Caenorhabditis elegans: one gene and its partner. The protein of the gene in region 2 purifies or fractionates together with the protein of the main gene of each other region. This does not show direct contact. Each region holds a gene or a part of one and is shown on either strand. Other genes may lie near its edges.

What was found.
Region 1: the proteins of F45G2.8 (region 2) and C34C12.8 fractionate together in Caenorhabditis elegans (co-fractionation; one large-scale study listed by BioGRID). This does not show direct contact.

The regions. Positions count from the first base shown.
Region 1 is NC_003281.10:3,453,828-3,470,677, reverse strand, and holds C34C12.8 (GrpE protein homolog, mitochondrial), read right to left. Parts: upstream 10,273-16,850; 5' UTR 10,268-10,272; coding exon 10,218-10,267; intron 10,166-10,217; coding exon 10,062-10,165; intron 9,994-10,061; coding exon 9,752-9,993; intron 9,693-9,751; coding exon 9,477-9,692; intron 9,356-9,476; coding exon 9,254-9,355; 3' UTR 9,088-9,253; downstream 1-9,087. Other genes in the region: smim-14 (Small integral membrane protein 14), read left to right, coding at 935-997, 1,426-1,629, 2,688-2,726; pph-6 (Serine/threonine-protein phosphatase 6 catalytic subunit), read right to left, coding at 3,700-3,842, 4,424-4,553, 4,743-4,823, 5,515-5,646, 6,365-6,491, 6,549-6,651, 8,118-8,230, 8,287-8,376 and 1 more; C34C12.2 (Fibronectin type-III domain-containing protein), read right to left, coding at 10,633-10,857, 10,925-11,206, 11,669-12,682, 13,235-13,378, 13,608-13,766, 13,813-14,013, 14,064-14,078; C34C12.1 (Autophagy-related protein 14), read right to left, coding at 14,828-15,738, 15,781-16,078, 16,124-16,333; C34C12.12 (Transposase), read right to left, coding at 16,746-16,746. UniProt on the Caenorhabditis elegans protein: Essential component of the PAM complex, a complex required for the translocation of transit peptide-containing proteins from the inner membrane into the mitochondrial matrix in an ATP-dependent manner.
Region 2 is NC_003281.10:13,434,118-13,450,484, forward strand, and holds F45G2.8 (Mitochondrial import inner membrane translocase subunit tim-16), read right to left. Parts: upstream 1,554-16,367; 5' UTR 1,547-1,553; coding exon 1,456-1,546; intron 1,332-1,455; coding exon 1,228-1,331; intron 1,170-1,227; coding exon 1,047-1,169; intron 1,002-1,046; coding exon 909-1,001; 3' UTR 744-908; downstream 1-743. Other genes in the region: F45G2.7 (COMM domain-containing protein), read right to left, coding at 56-189, 279-381; F45G2.9 (rRNA methyltransferase 2, mitochondrial), read right to left, coding at 1,670-1,807, 1,859-2,110, 2,487-2,703, 2,758-2,795; ciao-2B (MIP18 family protein F45G2.10), read right to left, coding at 3,020-3,094, 3,794-3,961, 4,398-4,554, 5,326-5,408; cua-1 (P-type Cu(+) transporter), read right to left, coding at 5,804-6,177, 6,790-7,254, 7,996-8,145, 8,193-8,400, 8,801-8,983, 9,461-9,646, 9,999-10,249, 10,926-11,409 and 3 more.

The DNA of each region.
Region 1 (16,850 bases), about 10 Mb from region 2:
AATTAGTCTTGTCAGTTGTCGTCAATTATAATGAATTACATCCCCGAGAAAAAGTAGATCAAAGACCGGTTTATCCCTCCCGACAGATACGGAATGTGTGTCCGCTTCCGATCAAAAGGTTCTCTTTTTCTTATTTTGTAGTCTGTGTGGAGGATACACTTGGTGATTAATTATTATTTATCGGCCTAAAAAATGGTTTTATATTTTTATAATACCCAGACGTGAAATTTTGCGATTTTTGCGCCCCGGGGCTCGACACGACAATTTTCTTATTAATTGCAAAAAAGGTGTACGCCTTTAAAGAGAATTTTCAACAATTTTAATTTTTTTTTTAAATAAAAATATATTTATTTAATGAAATCGAATAAATTTTTAACAATTCGTGACAAAAACTACAAAAAAATCTATGAAAATTCCGTAACTACAACAAAAGTTCAAAATTACAGTACTCTTTAAAGGCACACATTTAAAGTCACATGTATTTGAGAGAAATGTGTCGTGTCGAGACCCTGGTACCGGTACCGTAATCGCAAAATTGGGTAATAATGCTCAAAAATTTTTCAACTCTTCAGCAACATTTTTTGGTAATTTTTTAGAGAAAAAACACAATTTAGGCTAAAATCCGGAAACAACAAAAAACTGGCCGAAATTCTAATTTCACCATTTTTTGCTCTGAAAGCATTATTTTTTCACTTCTTCAAGTCATTAAATTCATGAAAAATGTGCATGGTTTCCCATCACAACCCGTCGTCTCCCAGCTGATTTTTTGTCTGTTTTCTCTCGCAATCTCTCCCCATTGAGCAATATTTTTGTAAGGCAACGTTGCATTGCCCACTTTTTTTTATTTTTTATTATATTTTCCCGTCCACGTTCTCTGTTCGTTTCATTTCTCGATTCTGTGAAGTTCAACGACGGAAACTCGCAATTTCAGAGAATGAGTGATCCGTGTGAATGTTTCTTCGATCATGAATCTGCTATGCAAAGACTTTTGGCTATGGTAAGGGAAATAATTATGGAAATATTCGGGGTTTAGCGCGAAATTTGCCAATACAATTTAAAAAAAACAAATTTTCGGCTCTCGACTCGATAAATTTGATATGAAATGCTAAAAGGTGTGCGCATTTAAAGAGTACTGTAGTTTCAAACGTTTTTCTGTTTTTATCGCTTTCTTCTGGTTCAAAAAATTATTATATTTTTGTCGAAAAACTACTAAAAATCTATGAAAATTCCGCAGCAACTAAACTTTGAAACTACAGTACCCTTTAAAGGCGCACGCCTTTTTCGCAGTTAACAAAAAAATAAAAAATTGTCGTGTCGAGACCCCGACGCACAAAATCACAACATATCGTATCTGAATACCCATTGCAAATCGTCATAAAACTCCAAAAAAAAAAAATGTTTTTGAAAAAAATCAAAATTTTGCAGCTCCGAAACTCGCAAGCGGACTGCACAGATACGGGTTGCGACAATGATGGTTTGAGTCGTGAAGGTGGCAATACAATGATGATGTGGACACTTTTATGGACATTTATGGCAATGGCACTTTACGTGATGAGACCCAATTCAATGAGATCTGATAGAAGAACCGCCGATGATGCAGCAATTGAAAAACCAACTGGAAGTTCTGATGTTAGTATTGTCAAGTTCGGATTTATCACAAGAGCGCAGAAAACCCGCTCCACGGCCAATTTTGGGTCTCGCCACGAAAAATTAAAATTTCGGGTGTGCGCCTTTAAAGTACTACGGTACTTTTTGCACAAGTATCTTAATTTTATTGTATTAGAGAGACGCAGAAAAAATCACCTGTGAAATCGATGTGAAAACACGCTCCACGGCTAAACGTAAAAGCTCCGCTCCCCAACAGTTGGGTCTCGTTAGGAATTTGGCGGGAAAACCGGATTTTCAAATTTTCAAGCAGTTTTCGTTGTTTTTAATGTATTCTCTATCCCAAATCGAAAAAAAAACAATAATTTCGGCATAAAAATCAGCGAAATTCCCAGTTTTTCCGCCAAATTCCTAACGAGACCCAACTGTTTGGGGGCGGAGCGTTTTCAATTGGCAGTGGAGCGCGTTTCTGCGTCTCTAATCTTTTTTTTTTGTGCCCGCCCGGCAATACATTGACCGGTCAATCAGTTATCAGAGACGCGAAAAAAGAAATCATCACCGGGTTTTATAGGTGTTTGTCCTACAGTCTAACTTGAATTTTTGAAAAAAAAAATTAAAAATTTTTTAGGGGATATGGAATACCCAGTTCCTTATTTTGGACTTTATTGCTAAATTGAAAAAAAAACAATTTAAAAATATTCCCTGGAATTTTTGTTTATTTTTTTAGTATTACGTGAACGCAAAATTCAGAGAATACGTATTGCACACCATATTTCACGCGCAAAATATCTCATAGCGAAAACTACAGTAGTCGTTAAAAGGATTACTGTAGTTTTCGCTACGAGATATTTTGAGCGTCAGAACTTTGTGTTTACGCAATATCAACAAAAAAAAACTAGAAAACTTTCAATTTTGGTTCATACGATAGTTTTTTTTTGTTGAAAAAATCGAAAAAAAAAAAACAAAATTTATCGATTTTCAGATTTTTAAATATAAAATTAAACTATTTCAAATTTTAAAATGTTCTAAACTTCTCCTCGGGGAGTACGCGTCCTATAAAATTTTAAAATTCCAATTTCCAGGACAACACGCCACCACCTCCACCGCCATCTGCAATGTAAATCTGAAATCCTCTACCGTCCGTCTTCTGTAACACTCTCCTCTGCCACCAACCATTCCTGTGTATAAATTGAAAAAATCCAGTTTTATTTTTGCAACTGGAATCCTCTGGGTCCTCCTCTTCTATTCATTCATATGCTTTTAATTTTCTCTCCCCTGTGCTTTGGGTATCACAATTTTCGTCTCTCTTTTTTTTTGTCAAATTTTCTGTGAAAATCGCCTACTACTAGTCCCTACCAATTTCTTGTACATTTCCGTCTCTCTGGGAATATGAATGAAGATTCGAGATTATTCGAGAGAGATAATTGTTCACACATTAAAATTAAATTAAGGAATGAGAGAAAGAGAAAGGGGGAACACGACGGAAAAAAGTGAACAGGAGCTGAAAGAAGGAAAAACATGAGAATAAAGTGAAAAATCAGAGAGAGAATACACACAAAATGGGGGAAAATGAAGATCAAGTACACGAGGAACCGAGGCTTTTATAGGGGGTCCACTCCAGACAAAAAACATTAAAATTCAAGATGGAATAGCGTGAATTTGCTTTGAAATAGCAAAAAATGATGAAAATTGACAAAAAAACGATAAAAACCCGGAAAAAATTCAGAAATAATGAAAAATTCATGTTTTTTGCTCAACTTTTGACAAATTTCCCCGGTCATTGGTCGAAAAATGGGCGAAGCTAATCGCTAATTGGTCGAAAAAAAGAATTAACAAGCCTCTGATTGCAGGACCAATCAGCGATTTGCTCCGCCCTTTTTTGACCAATCAGGGGAAAATGTCAAATTTTACGGGAAATTAGCTTGAATTTTATTGTTTTTTGTGGGATTTTTTTGGAATTTCAATTATTTTGGCAGGTTTTTTTTTGGGTTTTTTAAAAAGCGATTTACACTATTCCACCATAAATTTTAAAGAATAATTAAATTATGTAGCTGTGGCGGAAATAGAAATAGGCAGGCAGGTGTGAGGTAATATTTAGAGGAAATACGGAGCAACGACACGATCCGGCTTCTCACGGCTTCCATCGGGAACTGCGTTGAAATATTTCGTCGAGCGATTGTTTCCGTCGATTTCGAATACGGCCGCCGCGTTTCCGCATCGATAGCAGTAGTTTGGAGCTGCAATTTATCCATTTATTTGAAATTTCTTTTTGTAATAACTTTTAAAGCAATTTCAGTTTTTTCAGTTAAAAGTGTTTTATTTTCTTTTTTCTGTTTTTAAATTTTTATCGTTTCCTTTAATCCTTTTTTTTACAGTTTTTTTAAAATCAGTTTCTTTTAGTTTTTTAATAATTTTTTTAGCAATTTCAGTTTTTTTCAGTTGAAAAATAGTTTTTTCTTCTCTTTTTTCAGTTTATTTGAGGTATTTTTCAGTTTTCAAGAAAATTTCCAGCTTGTGCGATTAAAAAAATTTCAGTTTCCAAGTTTTTAAGTTTTTCAGTTTTTTTTCAGTTTTTAATGAAAAAACATTAAAACTTTTTTTCGGAAAAAAGGAGAAATTCTTAAAACCGAGAAAATTTTGTTTTTCGATTTTTTTTTTGAGTTTTTTGAATGAATTTTGATAAATTAGAATTTTTCAAAAAAAGTTCGAAAACGGGAAATTATCGGAAAATTTCCGTTTTTTTTTTCAAAAATCGACCCATAATCTTTTTTTTGGAATTTTTTTTCTAATTTTTCAGCAAAATAAAAGAAATTCTTACCCGACCAAACGGTAGCGAGTTTCTCATTAAACATATACTTAAATCCTTCGTCAACGAGTTGATGGGACCGGCAAAGTAGTGAAAGATCATTATTCATTAGGAATTCTTCTGTCACTTTTGCTCCGAACACCTGCAAAAAAAATTAATTTTAAAGTGGAAATTCCAAAATTGACAGGGCTGTCGTATTTTTGGCAAAAAAAATAAAGGTTTTTTCGGACCAAAAAACAAAAAAAACTATCAAGTTTCAGTTGGAAAAAGAAAAAATCCAAATTTTTTTGTTTTTTTTGCCCAAATTCGGCAGATCAGTCAGTTTTCTTACAAATCCAGCTCCTCTTTGACTAATCACCCAATCTTCGACGTCATCATCCGGATCCGACCACATTATGTCACATAGAGGACCCTGCAAATTTGGAAATAATTTATTTAATTGAAAATTTGAGTTTCTCCATTTTTTTTTAGTAAAAAAAAATAATTTTTGAAAATTTCCAGTCATTTTCATATATTTTGAGTAAATTTTCTAATTTTTCGTATTTTTTTCGCAATTTTTTGAAGAAAAAAAAACGAGAATTTTTCATTTTTCGGAAAAAAAAAATTTTTTTTGCAATCGAAAAGTTAATTTTTTAATTTTTTATGAGAAAATCCAAAGAATTTTAATAATCTTTTTTTGGATTTTTCAAAATCGAAATTGTTCATCTTTTTGAATATATTTTAAGATTTTTCTCATCAAAATCATTATTTGATAATTTCGGTTTTTCAAATTTTCTCGGTTTTTTATTCAATTTTTTAAAACAAGACTTTCGTATTAAAAAAACAATTTTTTTTTTCGTATTTTAGAGTAAAATTCTCCAAAAATTCCCGAATTCTCGATTTTCTCATTTTAATCTGCATATTTTTGATAAATTTATAGTTTCTCGTATATTTTTTCTCAATTTTCGGATTTTCTTCCAAGAAAAATGAAACTTTTGAATAAATTTATATTTTTTATCTCTAAATTTTCAATGTTTTCCAAATAAAAACATTTAGTTTTCGATTAATTCCGGTAAATTATTTATTTTTCGATTAATTTTTCACGATAAATTAAAATTTCCAACCTTATTAGGAACTTCTTGAGCTCTATCAAGTAACATAAGACTATCAATTGTTCGAATATCAGGTGAAAGTCCTCCATGTACACACAGTACTGATTCATCAATTAAAGCTCCAATTGGAAGAACGTCGAATACCTGAAAAAAAATTAATTTTTAGTTTTTTAAACTGAAAATTTGATGAAAATGGTGAAAAAATACCTTTTCGATACAATTATCGGCTAAAAATTGTATTTTTCGACACGTAATCTAGTGCTTGAGCACTTTAAGAGCCAATTATCCCGTAAAAACTCGGATTTTTTCCGCAAAAATTGACAGTAAAAAGTTATTTTCGTCATTTTTATTCTACAAAATCACCTCTCGTTTAAAAAAATAATTTGAAGCGATTTTCGAGAAGAACTTTGGGAGCTCACGGAGCATTTTTAATAATATTTTTTGGAAATTTTCCATTCTGCAGATTGAAGGTTTTCTTTAAAAAAACCAGAAAAAAATCGAGCATTTTTGAGTCCAAAAATTGCACAAAAACTAATTTTGATGGATTTCATGTTTTTTTGAAGTTTTTTAAAAAAGAAAATTACAGAAAAACAATTTTCCGGAAAGTTTATATGAAATTTTTAATTTTATAAAAATTCGACTTATTTTTAGCTTTACTTTTGGAGCCATTTTGAAACGAATTTTGAATTTTTCAGCCAATTTTTCAGTTAAATTTTTAAAATTATCAGAAAATCGCACAAAAATCATTTTTTCATGAATTTTCGCGTATAATTTCGCCAAAACGTTGAATTTTTAACGATTTTTATCGCTTTTTCTGCACGACGAATTTCCAATTTCCATTCAATTTCCATCGCTTCCTTACTTTACAGAACCATTTGTGCACATTTCCGTGTCCATATTTATTCTGACATTCATCGTAGAATCCATAAACATTGGAAATTCGACGAGATTCATGATTTCCGCGGAGCAGTGTGATTTGATTCGGATATCTGCAAATTTTGGAGTTTTTTACAGAAATTTTGGTAGGAAAAAGAATCAAAAAATACTTGAGAAGAAGACAAAAAAGCAGTGTAACAGTTTCCAGACTGTAATGTCCTCGATCCACATAATCTCCCATGAATACGTATTTTGTGTTGGGAACTGTGCCGCCTGTAATGAGAAAAAATGGGTCACGTCACGATTTTTTTTTGTCATTCAAAAAATCAAAATTTAGATGAAAAATCGCTTTGTACTCCCCGAGGAGAAGAATTTCAGAGCTTTTTGCCGAATATATTTTTGTCATTTCTTACTGAAAAAATTCACGAAAAAAGGTTTTTTTAATCGAAATTTCAAGCTTTTTGGATAAAAAAAAAACGATTTTTTCAAACTTTTTTTTTTCAGAAATTCGTATAAAAACTGTTTCTTTAAGGATTTTCGCCTGAAAAGTGGGGTTTTCAAGATTTTTAACGATTTTTCAGTCGAAAAAATCAAAATTTAAATGAAAAATCGTTATGTCGATTTACGCAGCCCGTGTACTCCCCGAGGAGAAGAATTTTAGAGTTTTTTTTGCTGAATATATTTTCGCCATTTTTTATTTAAAAAATTTACGAAAAAAAGTTTTTTTTTCGAAATTTTAAGCTTTCTGGATTAAAAATATCGATTTTTTGACTTTTTTTTCAAGAAAATCGTATAAAAACTGTTTTTTAAAGGATTTTCGCATGAAAAAAAGTGATTTTTTCTAGATTTATACCGATTTTTCGGTGAAATATTCTAAATTTAGATGAAAAATCGTTTCGTGTCGATTTACGCAGCCCGTGTACTCCCCGAGGAGAAGAATTTTAGAGTTTTTTTGCTGAAATTATTGATTTTCGACGATTTTTCAAATTAATAAATTTAAACGATTGTTTTTTTTTCAGAAAAACTTGAAAAAATTATAAATTTTCAAATTTTGCACCCTTTTTCCACAAAAAACACTCAAAATTGCCAAAATATTTGAATTTTTCACATAAAACGTCGCCAAAACTTCTTCTTCCGTCGAAAAATCGAAAATTAGCTGTAAAAATGAATTTTTCGAGTTTTTTTCATGTTTGAAAACAGAAAAAAAACCGTATGGCCTCTTCCACGGCCCTGTGTCGATTTACGCAGCTGTGTTCTCCACGAGGAGAAGTGTATCACAATTTTCCGGCTAAAATGCTTGATTTTTAATTATTTTTTCGCGATCTTGTTGTAAAAAACACTTAAATCGCCATTTCTAGGCGAAAATCTAGGTTTCTATTGTTGAAAATATGAAAATTCTTCGTTTTTAGCAGTAGTAAAATACTTTTCCATCTGAAAAAGGCAATTTTAATGTTAAAAAAGCGAAAAATGGCCCGAAAACAGTGAAATTCTCCTCCTCGAGGAGTACACGAGCTGCGTAAATCGACACATTATCGATTTTTTCGATTTTCCGGCAAATTTTCGAATTTTTCATTCAACTTTTGAATTTTTCATTCAATTTACGAATTTTTTTATCCAATTTCTCGATTTTTTTTTGGCTAATTTTCCGATTTTCCCGGAAAGTTTCTCGATTTTTCGGCTGATTTTTTGAATTTTTCATCCAATTTTGTGACATTTCCAATTCGAATCCGATTCCGTACCAGTTTTGAATAATTCGAGTAAATCATAAAATTGTCCATGAATATCTCCACAAATTGTGACAGGCGACGAAACGGGCACCACATTGGCTTCCAGTGATAGACGATCGATTAATCTGAAAAAATGTTCAGTTTTTGAGCCGAAAATTGCTGAAAATTGCTTTTTTCTTACGTTGCACAAAGAGCAACAGCGTCAGATTCGGGCAAGTATTTGCATTCGCTCGCCCACGTAATCCATTGCTCCGGCTCTATTTTTCGAGATCTGGAAATGAAAAAAATTAAGTTTTGTATAATTTTGGAGCTGAAATTTAAGTTTTTTTTTAGAAATTTGCAAAAAAATTCGAAATTTTTCGCAGAATTTTTCAATTTTGAGTAAAAAAAATCAATTTCCAAGCTCAAATCGCCTAATGTAGATTTACGCAGCTCGTGTACTCCCCGAGGAGAAAAATACTAGTTTTCGACTAAAATGCTAGATTTTACATTTTCGCTGTTTTTTAAAAGTTTAACGTTCAAATCGCCGATTTTTCGCTTTTTTGGTAATTTTTATGCTGAAATTCAGCATTTTTAATATGGAAAACTGCTGGAAACGATGATTTGTAGTCGATTTTCATTTAAAATAATTAAAATGACAATTTTAATGTTAAATTGGTCAAAAATTGAGCATTTTCTCCAAAAACTATAAAAATCTTCTCCTCGAGGAGTACACGAGCTGCGTAAATCGACACAAAGCGATTTGTGCTTGGAAAATCGCATTTTTCGCTTGAAATATCCAAAATTTGGTACCCAATAAAATGCGTTGTGCTCTTTTCGAGCTCTCCTTCATCGCACACTGTCACCCGAAGAAGGTTTGTGTCGATCATTCTGAAAATTTTACGGTTTTAAATGAAAAAGAAGCTTTTTTCCTGTTTAAAATTAAAAAATATATGAAAAATGGCTGAAAACCTATCGAAAAAGTGGAAAAAAGGGAATTGAAACTCAAAAATTGTTCATTCGAATCCTATAAAACGGCGGGAAAAAGTGATTGGAGTGTGATGAAATAACGGAAAAAACAGAAAAACAATAAAAATTACTAGCTATTCAAAAAAAAACTACAAAAAACCGGAAAAACATTAAAAAACCAGAGGAAAATTAAAAGAAAATTATTTAGAGACGACTCCAACTTGAGCAGGCCGAATTGGACGTTCTTTCAGGCTGTAGCCGATCTTTGTACACACTTCGATATGTCCGACAGGTTGTTTGGCCTGAAAATGGAGGAAATTAAGCATTTTGTGGCATTTAAAAAGGATTAAATAAGCCCAAATTGTTCAAAAAATACAAGATTTGGCTCTTTTATTTCGGAAAATTCGGGCGGTTAGCACTAACATTAGCAGATGGAATCTGGAAAACGGCTTCGTGGAGATTGGGGTCGAACTTTTCATTGGTTGGATCCACGGTCACAAGGCCATGCTTTGCGAATGTCTTTGCCATGACAGTACGGGTCATTGAAACTCCTTCGAAAAGATCTTTCAGAGCTTTTCCTCCCGATTCCAGATCTTCTGGCTTCACAGACTTGACGGCAATGTCGAGAATATCGGAGACCTGCAAATTTGGAATTATTTTAATTGTTTTTCGGTTGATTTTGATTTTAAAAATCGAACCTCAAGTAAATCTTTGCAGAATGATTGGATTGCAAAAACCTTAGCATCGTCGGTTTGCTTGATACCTCGCCGACGAACATTTTCAGTTTCAGCAAGCGATCTTTGATATTTATCCTTAAAATCCAAGCTTTCGGCCTGCAAATCGTCGTATTCCTTGAGAAGAACATCAAAAGCACCCTTTGGAATCTGTGTCTTGTCCTCGCCGGCAATCGAAGTAAGAACAATTTCTTCATAGTCGGCTCCTGGTTTTTTTTTAAATATTATATCAGTTTTTAGAATTTAGAATTTGTTTTAGAGTAAAAATCGCTACCTCTGAGTCTCTTTCCGTCTTTTCTAATCTCATAATTGACTTCTTCCGATGATTGTGATGCCGTGGCGCTGAATCTTTGAATGCGCAAGTTTTTCTGAGTTTTCCTGCAATGAAAAAATTTGATTTTCACCGTTATTCAAAATTCAAGGAACTTACAGCGTTTGTTGAACAGCCTGGCCGACGAAAGACACTCCTTTGCGCAGCATATTGTCTGAAATTGCCAAAATTTGAAGAAATTAGGAATAAAAAACGAAAAATCGGCGGAAATTGGTAAAAAACGAAGAAAAAATTAATAAATTTCATCATGACAAGAAATGCGCCAGCACATGACTCAAGTGCGCCAGTAACGTGCTGGCGTGATTTTCGTGCGTGTCTGCGTCTCCATGCTTTGCACACTCTTTTCGAGGAGTTTTTAAGCGGCAATTTAAAGTGGAAAAGGGCAAACTGTAGCAGTTTTTTCTTAACTTTTTCTGCAAAAATCTGTGTATTTCCGCAAAAAAACACAGCAAATCCAACAAAAAATTTATTATCAATGCTCTAAAAGCCTTAAACACAAAAAAACCAAGATTTGTCACTTCTTATGTTCGCGTTCTCCATCAAAATCTGGTCGCTTCGGTACAAATCGATATTTGACAATTTTCGAATCATCTTTTCCATCAGTCACAGGTTCCAGGTGAGCTTTCGCGAAATGCGGTGATGTGACTGGAAATCTGGAGCATCCTCTGAACGTGACGCTTTCTCTGGATTTCACGTAACTCGGCGCATGTCGGCGCTGACCTTTCCATTCTGGGGGACGCTGAAAAAAAAGTATGTATTATTGCAAGTGCGCTCCAGTAAACTGAGCGATTCCGGCTGTCACTCACTCTTAAGGCATTCAAAGCACCCGGACTTGGAATTGCATATCGAGCTGGCTGGGCTATTGGTTTTGGCACATATCTCGGAGCACTTGTGCTGGTAGATCCACTGGAAGAGCTGCTGATTGGCTCAACACGAGATCTGTAAAGAGTTGAGGAGATATCCGGCATGTCAAAATGATCTGATTTCTTCGAATTTTCGGGCGGTGCAGAGCTTCCGGTGGTTGAAGAACTACTTTGAACTTCTTTTGAATCAAATATATTGTGAAGTGCTGTGGCAATGTCGGGCATCTGCAATAATTTTCCATTTTTGCCAGTTTCATATTCAAATTACCGCCAAGAGACTTTGTTCAATAGAGCGCGCTTGCATTATTTTAATTTTTGTTTTTTTTTTCTCATCAATTCTCTGAACTTCTTCATTTTTTGTGAATTTTCACTGAAAATTTGAATGAAAAGTCAAGATAAATGCAAATTGTTCATTAGCTTTTCAAATTTTCAGTAAAAATACACAAAACATGAAGGAATTCAGTGAAATAATTAGGACAAAAAAACAAAAACAAAAAATAATGCAAGCGCGCCCCATCGAACAAATCGTCTTGGCGGATTTTTTCATTTTCAAAAGTTTTTTATTGAAAAAACCTTAAAATTTGACTTTTTTTTCCTGAAAAATTGAAAAAATCGATACTGACAGATTGGCAAAATTTCGCGGAATTTTAAGTAAATTTTTTAGCAATTTTTTTCGTTATAACTAACAGGAGATTTCTGGCTTCCGAGAGCTCCATTATCTTTCTTTTCTGACTCAAATCCTCCAATTGTACTCGAAGAACTATTCATTTCGTCCGATTCCACCACCACGTGAGATTTGTAAGGCGTTGAGGAAATATCCGGCATGTCAAAATGGGCTGATTTCTTCGAATTTTCAGGAGTTGCAGAGCTTCCAGTCTTCAAAAACGAGCTCATTCCTTCTGACTGAGCTTTGTAAGAGGCTGAGGTGAAGCCTTCTGGCTTGATATAGCGAAATTCTGGTCTCTTAATATATCCTGGAATAAGCTTCAAGTTCCTGGAGTTACTTTCCGAGCTAAAATTGAATGGTTTTCCTGAATTCACCACATATCTAACTTCTCCAGTGTTCAGCTGATCCGAAATTTGTGTTCGGCCTGGAGGGCCTGGAGATGCTGTGATGGGCTTTCTGGAGCTGCTGCTGGTGCTTTCAAAATAGAACGGCTTCCCATAGCACGCAGAACTTGTGCTGGGCTGATCAGGCTTCAGATATTTCGCTAGAGGACTTCCGAAGTCACTTGAATCTTCCCCATCCTGGGTTCTGTCAGACATCAATGAAATATCCTCTGGATTTATCAGCTTTACATCAGGCTTCTTCCTTGGTGTAGGCTTTTTGATGCCGACTTTTTTTTCGATTTTATCAATTTTCCATTTCACTTCCGACACGTCTTTCCGACTTTTCTGCAGCTCTTTCTTGAATAAATCTGCGAATTTCCACGAATTTCGAACTTGAATCGATTGGTTTGAAATTTGTGATTCTTTAGCTTTGTTCTCCTTCATTAGTTTAACATTTTCTTTTTGAATATTCACAAATTCCACTGAAAACACTTTAATCTCATCCTCTCGCATTGTCAATTTCTCCGTTAACGCAGCTTTTTCTTTTTCCAATCGTTCAATTGTTCGTTGTAGATGTACAATAAATTGGGTTTGATCACCACGAGAAGATGGATTTAGAGTGATTGAATTCGATGTTGATGGCGTGTTTTTCTGAAATTTAGAGAAAAATTGAAAAAAAATTATGGAAAATTTAGTTTTTTCATGATTTTGAATTATCGGCGAATTGCCGGAATTGAAAATTTCAGGCAAATCAGCAAATTGCCGGAGTTTAAAATTTCCGGCAAATTGGCAAATTGCCGGGATAGAATTTACCGGCAAATTTCGGGCAAATCGTCAGATTATCAGGAATTGTAATTCCCGGCAAATCGGTAATTTGCCGGAATTGAACATTTCTGGCAAATCGGCAAATTGCCGGAATTGAAATTCTCGGTTTTTAAGAATTTTTCGCAATTTTTTGTTTGCTTTTTCGGAATTTGTTGAGAACTTTTTTTCGGTTTTTAATAATTTTTCACAAGTTTAAAAATTTTTTCATAATTTTCGGGATTTTCTTGAATAACAAAATTATCTTTAAAAATTTAGAACAACAAATGGCAAAAAATCTGGAAATTCCTTTAGAAAATTTGTAATTTTTTCAGCTCAAAAATAGAAAAATTCCAAAAAATTTCTCATTTTTTGCTGTAATTGTTCCAAAATTCCACCCACATCATCGTCTCGTTTTCTTTTCAATCCAGCTGTATTTATATAAACAAATTTTGGAGGAAGCGGATTTTTTGCAGGAACTGATGATAGGACTGGAGCATTGACACGTGGAAGGGCTTGTGTTTTAACAATTGTTCTTTGAGATACCTGGAAATAAAATTATTGAAAAAAATGTGTTATTCAATTTTTTTTTAACCTTTAATTTAAATTGAATTGAATTAAAATTTTTATTTAATTAATAGAAAAATAAGATTTTTTTAATTTTGCAAAATAATTTTGAAAATGAGCTGAATATATTTGAATTCCCGCTGTTTTCAGGCATTTTTCTACATTTTTAAAAAGTAATTAATACCAAAAAATAACCCCGAGAACCAACCCTTGGAACAATTTCTGTTTTCACTTGCTGTCTGACAGGAGATGAAGTAGATGCAGTTTCAGAAGTTTTCATGAGATTCTGTGAAATTTTCGCCTGGCGGGCAATTTCCAAGTTCGCTACCCGAAAATTGAATTTTCTAGGCTGCGGCGGAGAAGGATTCTGAAAAATGGAGATTTTAGGATTAAAAAAATATAAATTAAATTACCACGTTCAGAGGCTCCGCATCTTCCACAATATTTCCAGCATTTATCACAGGATCCTGCACATCAATTGGCTCTGGAGCCACATCTTGCTCCGCTTGTTCAGCTTCAAGACGGGCATTTTCAGCCAATTGCTGCTTCCTCTTTTCCCGAATCGCTTCCAACACTCTAATTGATGCTTCCTTTCGTTTCCTTTTGTTGTACACCTGAATTTGAAAATTTTTAAAATATAAACTAGAGTAATTCAAGAATATACCTTTTTTTTCGTCATCTTTGCACGTTTTTGGTGATTTCTCAACTAAAATAAATTGTTTTTACTTGGGAAAATGCAGATCTCAGCAGAAAAATAGAAAATCGAATGGAAATTTAGCGAAAAAACGACTCAAAACCGTTTTCAGCAGCCGATTGTTTTTGTTTTACACACGTGCGGTGGAGCGCGCTTGCATCGCGCAAAAAGTCTGCAGACACCGTGACGGTAATTCACATACTGGGTACTGTAGTCAGTGAAAAAAAAAACAACACATTTTAATTGACGACAATTCGTAAAAATTGAAAAAATGTTTTCAAACTGGGTTTTTTGAAAATTGTAGAACAGAAATTGTGAAAATTGTCAGTTTTCATTTTAAAAAAAATCAGAGAAAGTCTAAACTACCGCATTTTTTGTAGATCTAGGCAGATCAAACATGGGACACACTGACACCACGTGCTTGAGCTAATCTGTAAATTTAAATGCTTTCTTTAAAGAAAATATAAATACTCCAACCTCAAATCTTCCATCAATTTATTCTTCTCATTTTCCAGATGTGCAATGGTGGATTCAGCTTCCTTCTCGATGCGATTCACCGTCATGGATCGACACTCGAAGCAATCCACGTCAGGAGAATCTTCAGTGGTAAGCTTCCAACTTTCAGGATCCCACAGCCCACAGCATACACCGTGTACAGACTTGGAACAAGTCTGACAGTCCACTTTGCGCCCATTGTATGAAGTTGCCAGTTTCATAGTCTTGTCCTTGAAAAATCACATCGCTGCTCTACACGGCTCGGATGGTGACTTGTACCCGTTGACTTGGCGATTCTTGAAGTTTTGAACTATCTGAAGAGCACATTTTGTTCCTGAAAGAAATTCTTCCAGCTCCTCCAGTTTTTCAGCTCTATCATTGACTACTGCCTTCGAGATCCTGGTTTTCTTGATGTCACCCCTTTTTAGTTGCATGGACCTGCTGATCGACTGTCCTCGTAGCGAAAAGCACTGCATGCACTGATAGGTACTGTTTCCTCCCTCATGACCAATAGCATCGCATTGGAACTTCATATCTCCCCCAAGATACTGCTCCACAGGTACATCAATGTCCTTATCGCCTACTTTTATCTTTAGGAACAATAATCGATTGAGTTGTTCAACGATGGGACCTAGATACTTTCGAATGTTTTCACTGCTTTCGTCATCATTGAAAATGCCAAGTGGAATTAGATGGAAACAGCTGTTAGGTTGGGAGACATTTCCAATTGACAAACATAACTTGAATTCTTCTGATCCTTTATCGCCGAGGATCGTAAGCCAAATAGGATCGTCTCCAACTACCATCTTTCCATTAGCAACTAATTCATTAATCCTTTCAGTTAACATTTTGACGACGTCGAGCAGATGAACGGCGACCACGGATTTACCGTCAACGGTATGCTCGGTGACCTTTAATTGATCCGAGGAGCCAACAACTTTCTCCAGCTTTTTGATCTCATGAATAGATGGCAATGGATCGATACATCCACTTCCTCGCAGCATTTGTTTCAACTTGGTGAATCGTCTTCTCGTGAGGTTGCTGGCGTGATAGAGATATAATCCTTCCCTCTTTGACATCTTCCATTTCAGAAGACCCAACTTACTCAATCTTCCAAGAAGAAGGCAGTAAAATTCAGAAGCTTCGCCGCCTAAAATCACTTTAAATAACTGTATTTATAGGTATTTCTCACCACATCGCTGAAGTTCAGCTCTCGCTATCTCTATTCTCCTAAACTTCTCGCTCCTGCTGATGAGATTTTTGAATTCAGTTTTGAAAGGTGGCCGTTTCCCTGCTTTCAGGTCCCGAATCATCTTAACATCTTCCACTTTTTCCACATCTGCCATTCGTAATTCATCATTTTTTCCTAAAAGTTGCCGATCTAATTCACTTTTTGCAGTTTCCAAACGACGGTTTTCAGTTTCCAAAACTCCTTTCTCCCGTTTCAACTGCGAACTCTGTTTCATCGTTTTCAGTTCTTCTTGTACAGCCTAAAATATTATCTATTCCAGCAATTTCTTATCTCTATTATATACCTTGTACTTATCATTCAACTTTCCCAACTTTTCAGAGTGCTCTCCATTAAGCTTATTCCTAATTTTTTTCAGTTTTATTTCAGCATCTTCTTTCAAAAGTTTTGCATCGCTCACGTCCCTTGTCAGCTTTTCATTGTCTTGCAAGGCACGTTTCAGGTCGGATGATAAAGATACACCAAGCGGCGTCGTCATCCTAAGCGGCGTAGACATGGCTTCCTGTTAAAAAATGTCACTTTGCCCAGAAAATTTTTGCATAGATTCCTTGGAGGTGTCCTACCCTTTTTAAAGCACAACAATATTTAATAACATTTATTATAGTATAAACAATTTAACTTTTCAGGATGACGAGGATGGTCGGCATAGATCGATGGCGAGGATGGTCGGGATGCATCAATGACGAGGATGGTCGGGATGGACGGCTCGCGACAGGACCGGTACCTTCGAATCATTTACTATTTTTTTTCAGGTCATTTTTTAGTTATTGTAGACCAATTTCGAAAATTAAACCCCGTAGGGCATTTTATTCTTCCAGATTCGTCGACCCTCCGAGCAGCTCCAACAGCAACAACAATGGCTCCAACCTCCCCAACCGCTCCAACAGTAACGACGAAGAAACGAATAATCTATAAATGTATTGTAAATAAAATATTGATTAATATTTTTCTGTCAATAAAAAATACTTTATTTCAAATTTTTTCTATAAGTTTCAAACATTTAAATTAATTTT
Region 2 (16,367 bases):
TGCGTAATGCTGTTATTTTTTTATAGACTTTCACGTTTCGAAGTTTCAAAATTACCTCAAAAACACTTTTAAGTTGCTTCGCCACGTCACCATCTCCAAGATTTTCGCTGAGATTGCCACTTCTGCCAGCTTCCGTCAAGACCACCCAAACTGATTCGGCCACTTTCTGATCGGCAATTAGGTTCCAATCTGTAATAATTATTAATTACAAAAAATGAAAATAAACAAATAATTTAGAAGCAATCAAATTCAACGTTAAATTTTCTGATTTTTCTTACCATCCATCGTTGTGACCAAGATCTCCGCCAGTTTCTCCAGCACAATTTTGTCAATCTTCGAATTTCTCAGGAACTTTTCGGCTTCTGCCAATGTTGGAGCCATTTATCTCTGAGATTTGGATAAGGATAAAGGATGCAAAAAATAAATTTTGAAATTGAAATGCAATCCCGCTCCAACGGCACATGAAAACGCTCCACCACCAAAAATTGGGTCTCGTTAGGTAAAAAAAAAAGCGGCAGAATCATAATATCTAACGTTTTAAGACATTTTTCTTAGTTTTTGTTATGTTTTCAGTTATTTTTAAATGATTTTTTATGTCGAAATAATTATTTAAATTTTTTTAAATCCATGCGTTCTCATTTAGCGGTGGAAAGCTTTTACACCTCGATTTTCGAAAAGACCAAATTTTCAAAATATAATATTGGAAAGATTATTGACCAAATTAATAAAAATAAACGCATATCAAACATCGATATTTATTAAAAGAAAACACGGGAAAAACAGAAAAAACTCTACAACAAGGAATCCTAGAAACGAAAACGAAAAATTCTACTATGAACAAAAATTGAGAAAAGGTCTGATTTTTCAGAAAGTTTTACCGGTGAACAAGAAAAGTAATAAGAATGTTTCTACTCAGTTTTGGCATTTTCCTCTTTTTTCTTTTCTTCTTTCAGTTCAATTCGTCCAAACTCTTCGTCTATCCGCTCTTTTGCACGGAATACCTGGAATGAATACAGGTTAAATTATAATTCAATAGACTTTCTCACTTTGCTCTGCAAATACAAAGTTCCTCCTTTCGATTTATCGTTGATATTGAACAAGTGTTCGTAGTGTTTTTCGACTTCTTCTCGATTCAATGGAGTTTTCACGTTCAGAATTTGCAAGGATTCCTGGAAATTTTTATTTTTAATCATTAATTTGAAGAGCTTTGAGTTTTCTACAACTTACCTCTAATGAGATACCCAATTTTGCATTAGAATTCGCATTTTCTCTTGTTTCACTTGCAGATTGTCCAGTGGAGGCGGCGTGACGAGCAGCAGCTTGTTGGGTTTCTGAAAAAATGTTAATTTATATTTTTTGAATAATTTTCGACAACTTGCGACAATTTTGGACAACTTTCGACAACTTTCGATAATTTTCGACAATTTTCGATTGGTTTATCTGCAAAAAACTCACGTTTGATCTCATCTCTTACGGCTCTTGTGAGCGCTTTTGCGACTGCTTCTCCAGCGGCAAGAGCCACTTTCAGTGCAGTTCTCCACGGCATTTTCGAACTAAAAAATAATTATTCAACTATAATAGAAGAAATTTAAAAACAAATATATATGGAATTCCGCGAAATCCAATAAAAATTCACAAGAATAATAGATTTGCAAACAAAAAATCACATTTATTTTTTGAAATTTCTACAAAATAAATAGAGCTCTGCACTATTGTCACGACATGCTGTAGGTTTGACCGTTTTGACAGTTGAGAATCGATCGGAAAGTTCACGGACGAACTCGGCACGTGCACTTCCATCCCAAATCTGGAAAAAAAAAATTATAGTCAAGAAGAATTATTATTAATTTCAGCGAACCTTGCACAAGTAAACTCCATTCTTCACTAATTCAATTTCATTTTCCACTGAAAATAATCGAAAAACGGATCGGCACAGCTCGATAAGCCTCAAGTGATCCGTAGCGTTATCTCCAGTCGGATTTGGTGCCATATCACTTAGAACAACATCCACTTGCCGATGTGCTAGTTTTTCTCGAATTTTCAGTTTCACTGCTGGATCGGTAATATCGGAGAGTGATAAGATGTCGGCACCGCGGATTGGGAGAACATTCTGTAATAATTTGCATTTTGAAATTGAAATGCAATCGCGCTCCAATGCAAGATGAAAAAGCTCCGCCCCCGGAACGTGGGTCTCGTTAGGTATTTGGCGGCGAAACCGGAAATTCAAAAATTTTAAATTACTTTTCAAGCATTTTCCGTCGTGTATTTGTTCTTTTATTTTAATAATTGTAAGCCAAAATGGGTGACAAATGAAAAAAAAATTATTCACTTTTAAACAAACTACTTAAAATTCTTGAAAACTAGCGAAATCGGCAAAAAACAAGAAAAAACTTTTTTTATTTCCGATTTTGCAGTCAAATACCTAACGAGACCCAACTTTTGGGGGCACAACGTTTTTTTTTCTAAAACTAATTTTAATAACTTACTTGTAAATCTACACCCGATGCATATCCATTTGGACACTTCTGCACAACTACTTGAAGCCATGAGCCAGGTGCACATCCAATATCGATTACAGTACTCTCCGGTTTCAGAAATTTGAATTTCTCATTAATTTCGATTAATTTGAAGGCGCTCCGTGCTCGGTAATTGTGCTCACGAGCTTTAACCGCAAATTCGTCTGTTGATTGCCGTTGAATATATCTGAAATTTAAATTTGAAAAATAAATTTATATTTGATGGGGGAAGAAAACTCACTTGTGCAAATTTCCTTGTGATTTTTTCGTTGAGAACATCCTGACACTTTTGAACATTTTTTTTCGAATTCTTAATCACTAATTTTTCAACAAAAAAATAAATTCCCTGAATCTAGATACTTTTCTGGTGATTTTTAAATCTAACCTATGAAAATGAAAATTTCGACAAAAAAACTAAATAATTTTAAACACGTTTTTATTCGAAACCTGATAGATAGGCAACTTTTAATATCACAAAAACTTTAATCTGGATCTTTTTTTGGTTATTCTGGAACTCTGAGGCATTCGTTAACAGCGTGCATTAGTCCTTGATTTTCCATTGCAGCAGCTACTCGTTCCTAAATGAGACATTTTGAATTTATGTTTTAAAAATTAACTTTTTGAGGGGCTTGCTTCTAAACTAAAAAATACAATGTTTTAAATTTTTTTTGAATTTTTTTATTGGTTTATTCGGAAACTTCGGTCTTATTTTCTATACTTTAAAATTTAATTTCAAAAAATTTCGAAAATAAAAAATGCAAAGTATAAAAATAGACCGAAATCTCCAAATAAACCATTAAAAAAATTAAATAATTTTTAAAATGATTTTTTTGCCATTTTGCAATCAAAAAATTCAAATTAATGTTTTCAGACGGTTTTCAGCATAAAATATTAAGAAGAAATGTTGAATTATCGAATTTTGGCGAATTTTAAAGTTTTAGTGATTTTTTTAAATTTTTGCGCAAATTAATGCCCGAGTTTTGAAATTACGTTTTTTGGCAAATTATGATTTAAACTTTTTTTTCAAATTTTTTAGACATTTTCTAGCAAAAAAAAAAGCTAATTACATAGTTTTTAAAAATTTTTAAAGTCGTTATTTACTATTGATTTTTCCTCATTTTACATATTACTATAGTTCGAAACAGTTTTTTGCCAATTTTACAGGCGTTTTTCAGCAGAAAAGTCAATTTTAGAGTTTTTTTTCGATTTTTTTGCAAAAATAAATGGTTTTTAAATTATATAGATTTTACTATTTTCATCAAAAATTAAAAACTTACCTTGTCGGCCAACTGCCTGTTAATTGATTCTTCCGTAGAATGTGATCCTGGAGTGATTGAAACGCTAACTTTAACTTTCGGATGCAAAGATCTCAAAAGTTTCACTCGAATCGCCAAACCGATTAGTGTTGCCATACTGCAGTGTGGAATGGTTGGTGTGAAATTCACCTGAAATTTTTTTTCAAATTTAAAAAAAAATTAATTTTAAATTACCAATCAATAATTTTCTCGCAATATTTTTCATTAAAATTTAGTGATAGAAGGTAGAAAAAAAATATTTGTTTTACCTGAAAAAAGTTTATTTCAGTTGGAACAATTGGGAAACGCTCAAGAATTGTCTGATATTTGGAAAAATCAATTGTTCCAATTTAAATAAAAGCAAGATAAATCAACTTTTTTTATCAATTAAATCAGTATATTTTGATTAAATATATCAGGAGAGCCCTGCATTGCTGAGACCAATTTTTAATATTTTTTCAAGCGCATTTTTTTCACTTTTTTCCAATCAATGCTGTAGAATTTCTGTTCAAAGATTGGAAGCTTCTTGGAAATGTTTTGTAAAAAATTGTAAAAAATTTTAAAGTTATTTTAAAATTAAAGTTACCTTCACAAAGGTCTCTTCTTCGTCGATAAACACTTTGATAAGCTCCTCTTGAACCACATTTAACTGCTCGAGAGTATATGGATGCTCTGGATCGTTGATATCTCTGATCAGATCGAAAATCTCCCACGAATCGATTGGATCTTCGACGCTTTCATCTCTGGAATCATATTTTTTGAATTAAAAATAATGTAGTGGAATTGAGAGCCAATTTTTACAAGCGAAACAACACAAAAAATTCATTTTTCGATGTTTTCTATTTTTTCAAGGAAAATCAAAAACTTAAAAAAAACTCAGCAGAAAATTCTTTTTTTTTTTAAATTTAATTTTGTTTAAATAAAAACGTCTTCTAAACAGAAGAACAATTATCAGAATTTTTAGCTAATTTTAGAAAAATCGAAAAAAAATTCGAAATATTGGAAAATCGAAAAATCTAAAAATCAAAAAACGGAAAATTTTCGTTTTTCGATTTTATTTTTTCGAAAATCTAAAAACCGACACTTTTGACACAGATGTTCTGGAGCTTCAAAGTGTCAAAAATTCATCTCCTCTTCCATTTTACTGGAATTTTTTATTTAAATGTTTGGATTTCATGCGATTTTTCGTATTTTATCGTGTTTTTGTTAAATTTATTATGTTTTTCGTTTAAATAACAGGTAAAAAGCGTTTTTCTTGATTTTTCTGTGTTTTCAATTTAATAATCGAAGTAATTACGTTTCAAACTATAAATTTTCATTTGAAAAAATACGAAAAATGGCTGAAAATTCGAATTTTCAATTTATTAATTCGCTGTTTTTTTGCGGAATTTTTTAAAAATTCTGTACTTTATTTATATAAAAACTTAACCGTGAAAATATGCTCTTTTTGAATTCAAAGTAAACTTTTAACGATTAAAACTTGATTTTTGCGTTAAAACCCTCCAAAAACCAACCTTTCAGTGCCAGTAACAGGTCGATGACGTGGTTTTGAGTCGAAAAGTGTTGGATTTGCATTGTCGAGACGTTCTTGGCCCATTTTTATGTGATATAAGCCTGGAAATTAAGCTGGAAATGGAAAATGACGAAAAAATATCGGTGGCCTAGTGGCCGTGGAAGAAAAAACAATACATATGTAGTTTTTGGCGAAAATTTAAATTTGAATAATTTTTTGTTGCAATAATTTCCAGAGATATAAAAATTTGAAAAATACTTTGAGATTTAAAATCAAAAATTTATAGTTAAATTTTTAAAAAATGTTTATTAAATTCGATTCAAAATTTGGAAAATACAAGAAAATAAGGCAAAAAATCACAAATTAAAACAATAAAACCGCGTAAAAAATGGAATTTGGTCGGTATGTGTGTGATGAGAGTGAGATGACGAAACGAAGCACGCAAAATGTACAAAAAATTGGATAAAAAATCAAAAAAACTACACAATGAGATCCTCTAAATCTGATCCAACATTATCCAAAAGTCGTTGCTTTTTCGAGCTCCCAGAGCTCACGATACTTGTTGTTGAGCCGAGCAGTGAGCCAACTTTTGAGCTTAATATTGATAATTTTGAAGAAGCAGCACCTCGAAAAACAGCCGAATCGTCTAGGCCTCGATGCACTTGAACTTGGAAAGAGCCCGATTCGAGGAACTTCTGATGTCGTTTGAAGCTCGTCGTATAGAGATTTGCAATCGTTGGTTTTCGGAAGTTTTTGAGTAAAAGTGAAGAAGAAACCACGGAGACACTGGAAAGAGCCATTGCAGCTGCAGCCATCCATGGTTGAAGCATGAAGCCAAATGGGCGGAATACACCTGGAAATTTGGAAAATTATTAAAAGTGGATTGTTTTTTGTTATTGGAAAAATAGCGTTTTCTAGAAAAACAATATTTTCTTCTTTTTTTTTCTCAACGAAAATCAACGAAAATTTCATTAAATTTTGAATTTTTCAAATTTTCCAGACAAAAGTAGAAAATTTCCGTTTTTTTCTCGAAAAATAGCTTCAAACTTAAGCTATTTTTCTTTTTTTTCAGAAATTTTTTTTCTTAAGTACTTCTCAACAAGATAAACCGAATTTGATAAAATTTTGAATTGTTTAAAAATTTTCTAGACGATTTTTCGTTTTCCGGGTATTCGAAAAGTCGAAAAATTTTGATTTTTTTTGTTCGAAAAAAAATTACCCGGGTTTTCGAAAAATAGCTACAAATTTTGACCAATTTTCTTTTTTCAGAGAAAATATAATTTTTAAAGTTTTTCTCTTCAAAAAAAATTGATATTTAAAATTTCAAATTAAAAAAATGTTCTAGACATTTTTTTTCAATTTTTTCGTTTTTCGGAAAATTGAAAATTTTTCGACATTTTTAACACTTTTTATTCTACCATTTGAAATCGGTTTTTTTGTTCGAAATAACTTTTTTAAAATTCACCTGCAGCAATCGGAATTCCAATCGCATTATAAATGATTGCAAACAAAAAGTTCAATCGAATCCTTCTCGTCGTCATTTTCGATAGCTTAATTGCTCCAACAACATCCACAAGATCATTTCTAACAAGTACGATTCCAGCTGACTCAATTGCCACGTCACTTCCTGCAGCAATTGCGATACCAACATTGGCTTCTGCGAGAGCCGGCGAGTCGTTGACACCGTCTCCAACCATTGCAACTTTGTTTTTGTATCCTTTCAATTGCTTAATCTTTTGTTGCTTTTGATTTGGAAGAACTTCTGCGAATACTTCATCAATTCCGACTTGTTTCGCAGTTGATTCTGCAGTTTTCGAGTTATCTCCTGTGAGAAGTACGACACGAAGACCCATTTCACGTAGAGTATAGATTGCAAGTGATGCTTCTTTTTTAACTTGATCAGCAATTGAAATTACAGCAACCACTTCCGCTGAAATAGTTAATTTGTCAATAACTACAGCTGTTTTGACAGACGAAATTGACTTTTTTCATTAAAAAAAAAGGATTTTTTCAGTGGAGTAAAAGAATTTTTAAAGCAAGATCCAAGAGCAAGATCCAAGACCAAGAAAAATATACTAGTTTTTTTTTGGTTTTTCTTTGGAAAAAATGACTTTTTTGAGTTTTTGGACCAAGAAAACAGTTTTTTTTTCAAAAATTGTAAATTTTACTTGGAAGGAGAAATACAATTAAAAAGTGTTTTGTTTTTTTTTGGTCCAAATTTCAAATTTTGTTAAAAACGGCGAACATTCAGCAAAAATCTTTAAAGGCAAGGTAAAAATTCCCTCCAAAAATAAACGAATGATTCATTCAAATTCAAAAGAGTGTACGCCTTTAAGGATAACTGTAATTTATTGAAGAAGCGAAAAGTGAAAAAGGAATACACAAAATTTTGGGAAAAAACTTTAGCAACTACAGTAAGAAAATTTGTCGTGTCGAGAACCGGGTACCGTAGCTTTCGAACAAAAACTGAAAAATTTTGGTTCTGAACACTGAAATTTTTAAAATTAGGTGTTAATATTGGGAATTTTAGCGAAATTTTATTTTTGAGAAATATTTTAATTTTCCAATAATTTCCAGTCACTTCTTGATTTTTAAATAAATTTGCTTGTTTTTTTTATCGTTTTCCGATTTTTTTTGATTTTCTCTGAAAATCAACGAAACAAAAACTTACCGTTAATTGCACAAATAACCGAAATGTGTCCTTTTCTCTGTTCTTCTGAAAGTGTCATTTTCACAACTTCCGATACGGGAATTCCGTGTCTTTCCATCATTCTTTCGGTTCCAATCACAATGTTCGCAGTGTCCGGGTTTGGTTGGCTAACTTGAAATTATATGAATTTATATTCATTTATAAATTAAAAAGACTACCTTCTTTACTAGAAACTTGAAGTAAATTGACTTCGGTTCCAGGAATCGTGATAGTTTGACCATCAGGAAGCCTTGGAATTTCACAAGTAGATCCAGAAAGTGCCAAAGACGAGAACGACTGCCGAATTGAGTCAATTCTACAGGTAACACCATGTCCAGCAGATACATGGAATCGGGAAGTGTTCGGCCAAGTTGGCTCATTGAGAAGCTGAAAAAATGGATTTTCTTGTTTTTTTTCAGTTTTTTTGGCAAAAATTGATTTTTTTTTGTATTTTTTTTTGGTTGGTATGATGAGAAAATCGAATTTTTTTTGTTTTTTTGTTGGCAAAAATGGATTTTTTGTTTTTTTTTTTTTGGTTTTTTTTTGTTTCTTGATTTTTTGTTTTTTTTTTCGGCAAAATAAATTTCTGGTTTTTTAATAATTTTTTTTTTGCAAGAATAGATTTTTTTTTTGGTTTTTTTTGGTTGGTATGATGAAAAAATCAAAAAACTTTTTTTTTCCGTTTTTTTTTGGAGAAATCCGATTTTTTGTTTTTTGATCCAAGTTTGAAACAATTTTTTTTCGTTTTTTTGGTCGAAATATTTTACTCTCTTTACTCTTAAAATACCTGTTTCGCAAAAGCCGCTACCGCATTTCCAATCGGATGCTCCGACAAAGCTTCAGTGGCTCCGGAGAGGAATGTGATAAGTTTTAGTGACATTGTAGATGGATTTACAAACGACGCAATTTGAACTACTCGTGGACGTCCTTCGGTGATTGTGCCAGTTTTGTCGAAAACAATTGTGGTTACCTGGAAAAAAGAGTGATTAAAAAATTTGAGATTTGATAAATATTGCTTTTTTTGTTCATATTAAAGATAATTTTGTTAATGTTTCGATTTTTCTTTTTTATTTATTTTTCCCTGAAAAATATCGAAATTCGCGGTTTGAAAAATGGATCTTTCTTTATTTCTCGATTTTTTTTCGTTTTTTCGTGCAATTTCTGATTTCACACTAATTTGGATATATTATATCTTTAGTGGCTTCGTGAAATTTTAAAAAAATTATTTTCTGATATTTACGAGTGAAAATAAAAAAATGGTACTCTAAGAAACAAGGTTTTTTTTCTGGGAAGTAAAAACATCTAAATTTTTGTTTTTCGATGTTTCAAAATTTCGGTTATGTCTCTTCTATTTGAATTTGAAATAAATATGTTTTTTAGTGTTGTTAATATGAGAAAATGTTTAAAATTTTGACAGTGACATCCAAATTTCTAAATCCGAACTCACTTTATGTACACTCTCCAATGGTTCGCCTCCTTTAATCAAAATACCATTTGCTGCTCCAACTCCAGTTCCAACCATAACAGCGGTGGGCGTTGCGAGACCCAGACTACAAGGACATGCAATTGCAAGTACAGTAATCGCAGCTTCAAATGCGATTTTCAAGGCTTCTTCGAATCGAAGACCGGGTGGCTGGAAAAATACATGATTTTGATTAAAACTCGGGCTTTGGCTTTAAATTTTAATTTTTCAAATCGAATTTGCAATATGCAATAAAAATTTTTTTTTTTAAAGCTGATCTTGGAAAAGCCAAGATCTTGGCGGGCTTTAATTTGGGAAATTTAGCAGCGAGGAACGAAATTCTCGATCTTCTTATTTACAGCTCTTTTTGAAAATTTTCAAAAGCACGACAATCAATTTTTAAAGATCCAACTGAAAATTTGCTCATGAATTTCTTTCTTTGCTGCTAAATTTATAATCATAAATTCACGTTTTCGAGCATTCTGAATCCAACTTTATAGTATTTAATCTATTTTTCCCTTACCAAATTAGCATTTCTCGCCGAATTGTACTCAATATAGATCCATACTCCCAACGTGAACAACGATAATACAATGACAAACGGGACAAAGTATCCGGCAATTTTATCGGCAAGTTGTTGAATTGGAGCACGATTCGTTTGAGCTTCTTCGACGAGACGGACGATTTGTGAGAGTGTAGAATCATTGCCAACGTGTGTTGCCTTCACAATTAGAACTCCTTTTTGATTCACCGAGCCACCAATTACAGTACTTCCTAGAAATTATTGTTGTGAAAAATAACTTACAATTCGGTTTTGAACAGAAATGTTCTTTTTTTGGATTTTTTAATGACAAAATAATTTTTTTGAATTTAAAAAATAACGAAAAAAGTTTATTTTCGAAATATTTATACAGTCGTGAGCATGACTGTAGATTTTTCGAAAAAATAGTGAGCAAAAAACGCGAGAAATTTCGACATGAATGTTTAAATTTTGCATTTTTTCCAAAAAAATCACACTGATAATTATAATCAAAAATTTATAAGTTCTTCTAAATAGCGTTTCAAACTAAACATGTTTTGTTTTTTCGTGTATTGGCTAGAAACATTTTTTTTCTCGTTTTCCAAATGAATAATTTTTTTCTCAAACAGTTGAAAATTTTAAATTTTTGGTGATAAATGTTCGATTTTGTTATGGTTTTGCAGAAATTTAAACGAAAAATGTTTCTTTTTTTTTTCGTTTTTTGATGGAAACATTGATTTCTCGCTTTTCTTCAAGAAAAACTAGGGAAAACGCGAAAATTTGGAAATTTTTTCTAACTTTTTGTTTGTAGCTTTCAAAAAAACGTTTAAAAATTTTTTTTGAAAAACAGACCGTAACCGTTTTTTTTGTGTTTTTTGAAAAATTTCAGGAAATTCCGAAAAAAAAATTTGCAACAAAAATCCGAATTACCTGGTTTCTTAACGACAGGCATCGATTCTCCAGTTATAAAACTCTCATCAACCGAACTTTTTCCATCAACTACAACTCCGTCGACTGGAACTTTAGCGCCAGGAACCACTTTAATCAGGTCATTTCTTTGCACTAATTCAATATTTATTCCTTTTTCAGACGTTAACCGTCCTTCCGAATCCATTGTGACAAGTGTAGCTTCTTTTGCTTGTAATGACATAAGTTTCGATAAAGCTTCAGATGTTTTCCCCTTTGCTTTATGTTCCAGCATTCTTCCAAGTGCAATAAATACAATTAACATTGGTGGAACATCGAAAAATGTCATTGGAGACGACGGCCATTTGAAAATGATTGCGAGGAGAAGAACTACGATTGAATAGGTGTAGGCAATGGTTGTGGACAGCATTATTAGTACATCCATATTTGCATTTCCATGTTTTATTGCTTTCCATGAGGCTACGTAGAAATATCGACCGCCAAAAATCTGCAATTTTCTTATTGTCAATTTTTTAAAAAACTAAGAAGAAAATATTTTAAATTTTACCTCCAGAACAGGGGTGTCGGTTTTTAGATTTTTTGAAAAGCGAAAAAGTTCGTGTTTCTCCGATTTTTAGTTTTTCAATATTTCGAATTTTTTTATAGACTATTCTAAATAAAATTCTCTTAAAATTTGTATCATTAGTCTTATTTTTAGAGAACATTTTTATGTTTCCTTATGTTATTTTCCCATTAATATACACGAAATTAAATAAAAAAGCGAATTTTATGGTTTATTTTCTAAATTTTTTTCCGATTTTCCCGGAAAAAATTTTAAAAAAACGAACGAAATTTATTCAGATTTTTCGATTTTCCATTTTTTTTTCCTAAAAATTATAGTCGATTTTTTTTTGCTTTTACTTCCGTGTTTTCGGAGGAAAATTTATTTTTTCGCAATTTTCGAAGAAAAATTTTTATAACAAAAAAACAAAATTTTAGTCCTAAAATTATACCCGAATTTGTTTTTATTGGGTTTTTTGAAAAAAAAAAATTTTTTTCGTGTTTTTGGCCAAAAAATTATTTTTTCAATTTTTGAAAAAAAAGCAAAAAAAGAAAATAAATTTATTAGCCTGTCGATAACTGGAAAATTCATAAAATTTTAAGTTTAAGCTCTTTTTTCTTAAAATTATAATTGAATTTTTTTCCTTTTTTTCGTGTTTTTCATGGGAAAATGTTATTTTCAGAATTTTTCAAAACATATTTTTTTGGTAACTGAAAAATATTTTTTGGCTACTCCAAAAAAACTTCTTTTTATTGGTGTAAAACTGAAAATTCTCACCTGAACCGGTGTGCAAAGACATAAAAGCAGAAAGTTGTCAAGTGAAAGAGCTGGAGTGAAAATTGGTGTTTGTTTGTCTGGATGCATTGGCGTTCGGAGAATCCAGTGAAAGATTATCATAATTATCATTACAGGGACTCCGAATATTAATGCGATGAAGAAAGTGTTACGCCATCTGAAAATACCGTTATTGTGAATTTTTGCTTGAAAATAGTCGGAAAAAAAAAAATATATACCAGCCGCTGACCGCGCCTACGGCGCGGGCAACGACTGGCACCATTAAAAGTATTTGACACACATACCTTCAATCACTCAAAAAATTTCTCATCATGAAAAAAACTTGACACACTTAAACGCGGTTTACTGGCACTGTTACACGTATTTTTCTACGACATGCATGTTTCGAAAATTCACAGACAGTATGAAAACGTTCTGTTACTTTCTGACCAAGACAGTAACCTTACAATACCACTACAGTACCTTGACATTATCCTCCACCGACTCCTAACTCAATACCTCTTCAAAGGACGAAATGCCAATTTTTCCAAAACTACAGTAACCCTACCGTATACCTACAGTACCCCTATAGTACCACTACAGTACCTTGACTTAATCCCCCATCAACTCCCAAATAACTACCTCTTCTAAAGCTCTAAGCTCAATTTTTCGGAACATTCCAGAATTTTCTCGATTTTTCTAGAAAGTTCTAGAACATTCCAGAATTTTCCCGATTTTTCTAGAAAGTTCTGGAACATTCCAGAATTTTCCCAATTTTTCTAGAAAGTTGTGAAACATTCCAGAATTTTCTCGATTTTTCTAGAAAGTTCTGGAACATTCCAGAATTTTCCCAATTTTTCTAGAAAGTTGTGAAACATTCCAGAATTTTCTCGATTTTTCTAGAAAGTTCTGGAACATTCCAGAAATTTCCCGATTTTTCTAGAAAGTTCTGGAACATTCCAGAATTTTCCCAATTTTTCTAGAAAGTTGTGAAACATTCCAGAATTTTCTCGATTTTTCTAGAAAGTTCTGGAACATTCCAGACTTTTTCCGATTTTTCTAGAAAGTTCTGGAACATTCCAGACTTTTCCCAATTTTTCTAGAAAGTTCTGGAACATTCCAGAAATTTCCCAATTTTTCTAGAAAGTTCTGGAACATTCCAGACTTTTTCCGATTTTTCTAGAAAGTTCTGGAACATTCCAGAAATTTCGCGATTTTTCTAGAAAGTTCAGGAACATTCCAGAATTTTCTCGATTTTTCTAGAAAGTTCTGGAACATTCCAGACATTTCCCAATTTTTCTAGAAAGTTCTGGAACATTCCAGAAATTTCCCAATTTTTCTAGAAAGTTCTGGAACATTCCAGACTTTTCCCAATTTTTCTAGAAAGTTCTGGAACATTCCAGACTTTTCCCAATTTTTCTAGAAAGTTCTGGAACATTCTAGAAATTTCCCAATTTTTCTAGAAAGTTCTGGAACATTCCAGACTTTTCCCAATTTTTCTAGAAAGTTCTAGAACATTCCAGACTTTTCCCAATTTTTCTAGAAAGTTCTGGAACATTCGAGAATTTTTTCGAAATTTCCAGAAGATTCTAGATTTCCAGAATTTTAGAATTTTCAGAAAATTTAAATTTCCCGCAAAAATATTTTTCACAGAAAATTTAAATTTCCCGCCAAAATATTTTTCTCAGAAAATTTCAATTTCCCGCCAAAATATTTTTCTCACAAAATTTAAATTTCCCGCCAAAATAATTTTTTTCAGAAAATTTCAATTTCCCGCCAAAATATTTTTCTCACAAAATTTAAATTTCCCGCCAAAATAATTTTTTCTCAGAAAATTTCAATTTCCCGCCAGAATTTTTTTCTCCGAAAATTTAAATTTCCCGCCAAAATTTTGGGGGTTACCCCGGTGGGGCTCACCACGACGGGTCTCACCACGGTGGGTCTCGCCACGATGGGTCTCACCACGATGGGTCTCACCACGATGGGTCTCACCACGGTGGGTCTCACCACGATGGGTCTCACCACGATGGGTCTCGCCACGATGGGTCTCGCCACGATGGGTCTCACCACGATGGGTCTTACCACGATGGGTCTCACCACGATGGGTCTCGCCACGATGGGTCTCGCCACGATGGGTCTCACCACGATGGGTCTCGCCACGATGGGTCTCGCCACGATGGGTCTCACCACGAAGGATGACAGACCCCGCCCACAATTCTCAGTGACTTTGGGTGTGACGTCACAGACTACAAAGACTACATAGACTACAAACTATGGAACAAACGGAATTATTTTTTTATATATAAGTAATGATAAGTAATGATATATATTGAAATTGAAAATATGACTTCGACAGATTTTCTAATTTCTTAATTTTAATTACCGCGATTATTTCTCTAAGTAAGCTACGCCCTTTTTTCTGTGCCGCACTCTGGTTTTCCTTAATTTCGACAAAAATTATGAAAATTATTTATTAAAAAAGTATATTTAAACCCGATATTTGGAGAATAATACATTTTTGATTCATTTTCTGTTCTGAAAGCGTGGTAATTAAAATAATTTGATTAGCCAAATTGAATATTTTTCCAAAACCAGTGGGTTTTTCCTAATTATTTTTTTAAGTCACGATTTAAAGGTGCAGTAGAGGCAAAAAAATTTTTTGCTTCAAATGACAGAAAATGCACCCAAAGAACCGAATATAACTGTAAAAAAATTTTTTTTTAATTTCTAAATTTTTTATGATTTTTTTTAATTTTTCAAAAATCAAAGAAACGGCTGAATAAACTTGAATTTAATAAATGAGTGACGTCATTTTTTATATGTTCGCGTTTTCTGGCTAAATTCGTCGGTTTTTCTCAATTTTTTTTTCTATATTTGATTTGAAACACCGTTTGTCAATTATTCAACCACTTTTCCATAAAAAAAAACTTGATAACCCTAAGGAAATTGCCAGAAATGGCAAAATTGGCCTAAAATCCGCAATTTAACATTTATTATTAATTTTTTTTTCAAAATAACTATTTTAAATAATTGACAAACAATGTTTCAAATCAAATATAGAAGAAAAAATTGAGAAAAACCGACGAATTTAGCCAGAAAACGCGAAAATATCAAAAATGACGTCACTCATTTGCGCGGTAATTCAAATTTATTCAGCCGTTTCTTTGATTTTTGAAAAATTTTAAAAATCATAAAAAATTTAGAAATTTTTAAAAAAATTTTTTACAGTTATATTCGGTTATTTGTGTATATTTTCTGTCATTTAAAGCAAAAAAATTTTTTGACTCTACTCCACCTTTAAAAAAACACCAATTCTCACTTTTTAACATCGTCCGAATGATCCAACCGCTTCATTTGATCATCTCGAGTAGCTAAATCTGCGGTGAAACCAAGTGATTCGACAACATTTATAATATCCCTCGGACCAATAACCTGTGGAGAGAACTCGACAAGAGCCATTGATGTAGCAATTGAGACATTACACGAGTCAATTCCCGATTTTGAAAGTACATGGGATTCTATTCGATTCGCGTCGCTTTCTGTGGAGAGATTGCCGATCTGAAATCATTTTCATATAATTTATACGGATTAAAAATTCGATAACTCAGAAATTGCCGACTGAAAATTTTTACTGAAAATTTTATAACACAGAATTGGGGAGCTTTTTAGGTTTTAGAAAAAACCGCATTTCTTCACTAAACTTTTCGAATTTTAAGCTTGGTAATTACCGAATTTCCTAAAATTTTCGAAAAAAAAAAACATATATTGCCAGTCAATATTTGAAAAAAAATTCTAGAGAATTTCAAAGCCTATGCAAATTGCCGATTTGCCGATTTGCCTAAAAATTTCAATTCCTGCATTTTGCCGATTTGCAGGAAAAAATCGTTTGCCGCCCACTATGCCATAGAATAAATTTTTTTTTGATTTTTTTTCAATTTTTCGAACGAATTTCAAAAAATGTCGAAATTAAATCATCCATTTGCGCGGGAATTTAAAAATTGTTCAGCGGTTTGAACTTTTTTGCTAAACTTTCTCAAAAAATGATATATTTTTGGGCAATTTGAGTATGTTTGGGAATTCAAAAAAAAAATGTTTTTGGTACCAAAATCCAAAACTCACAATCAACCGTA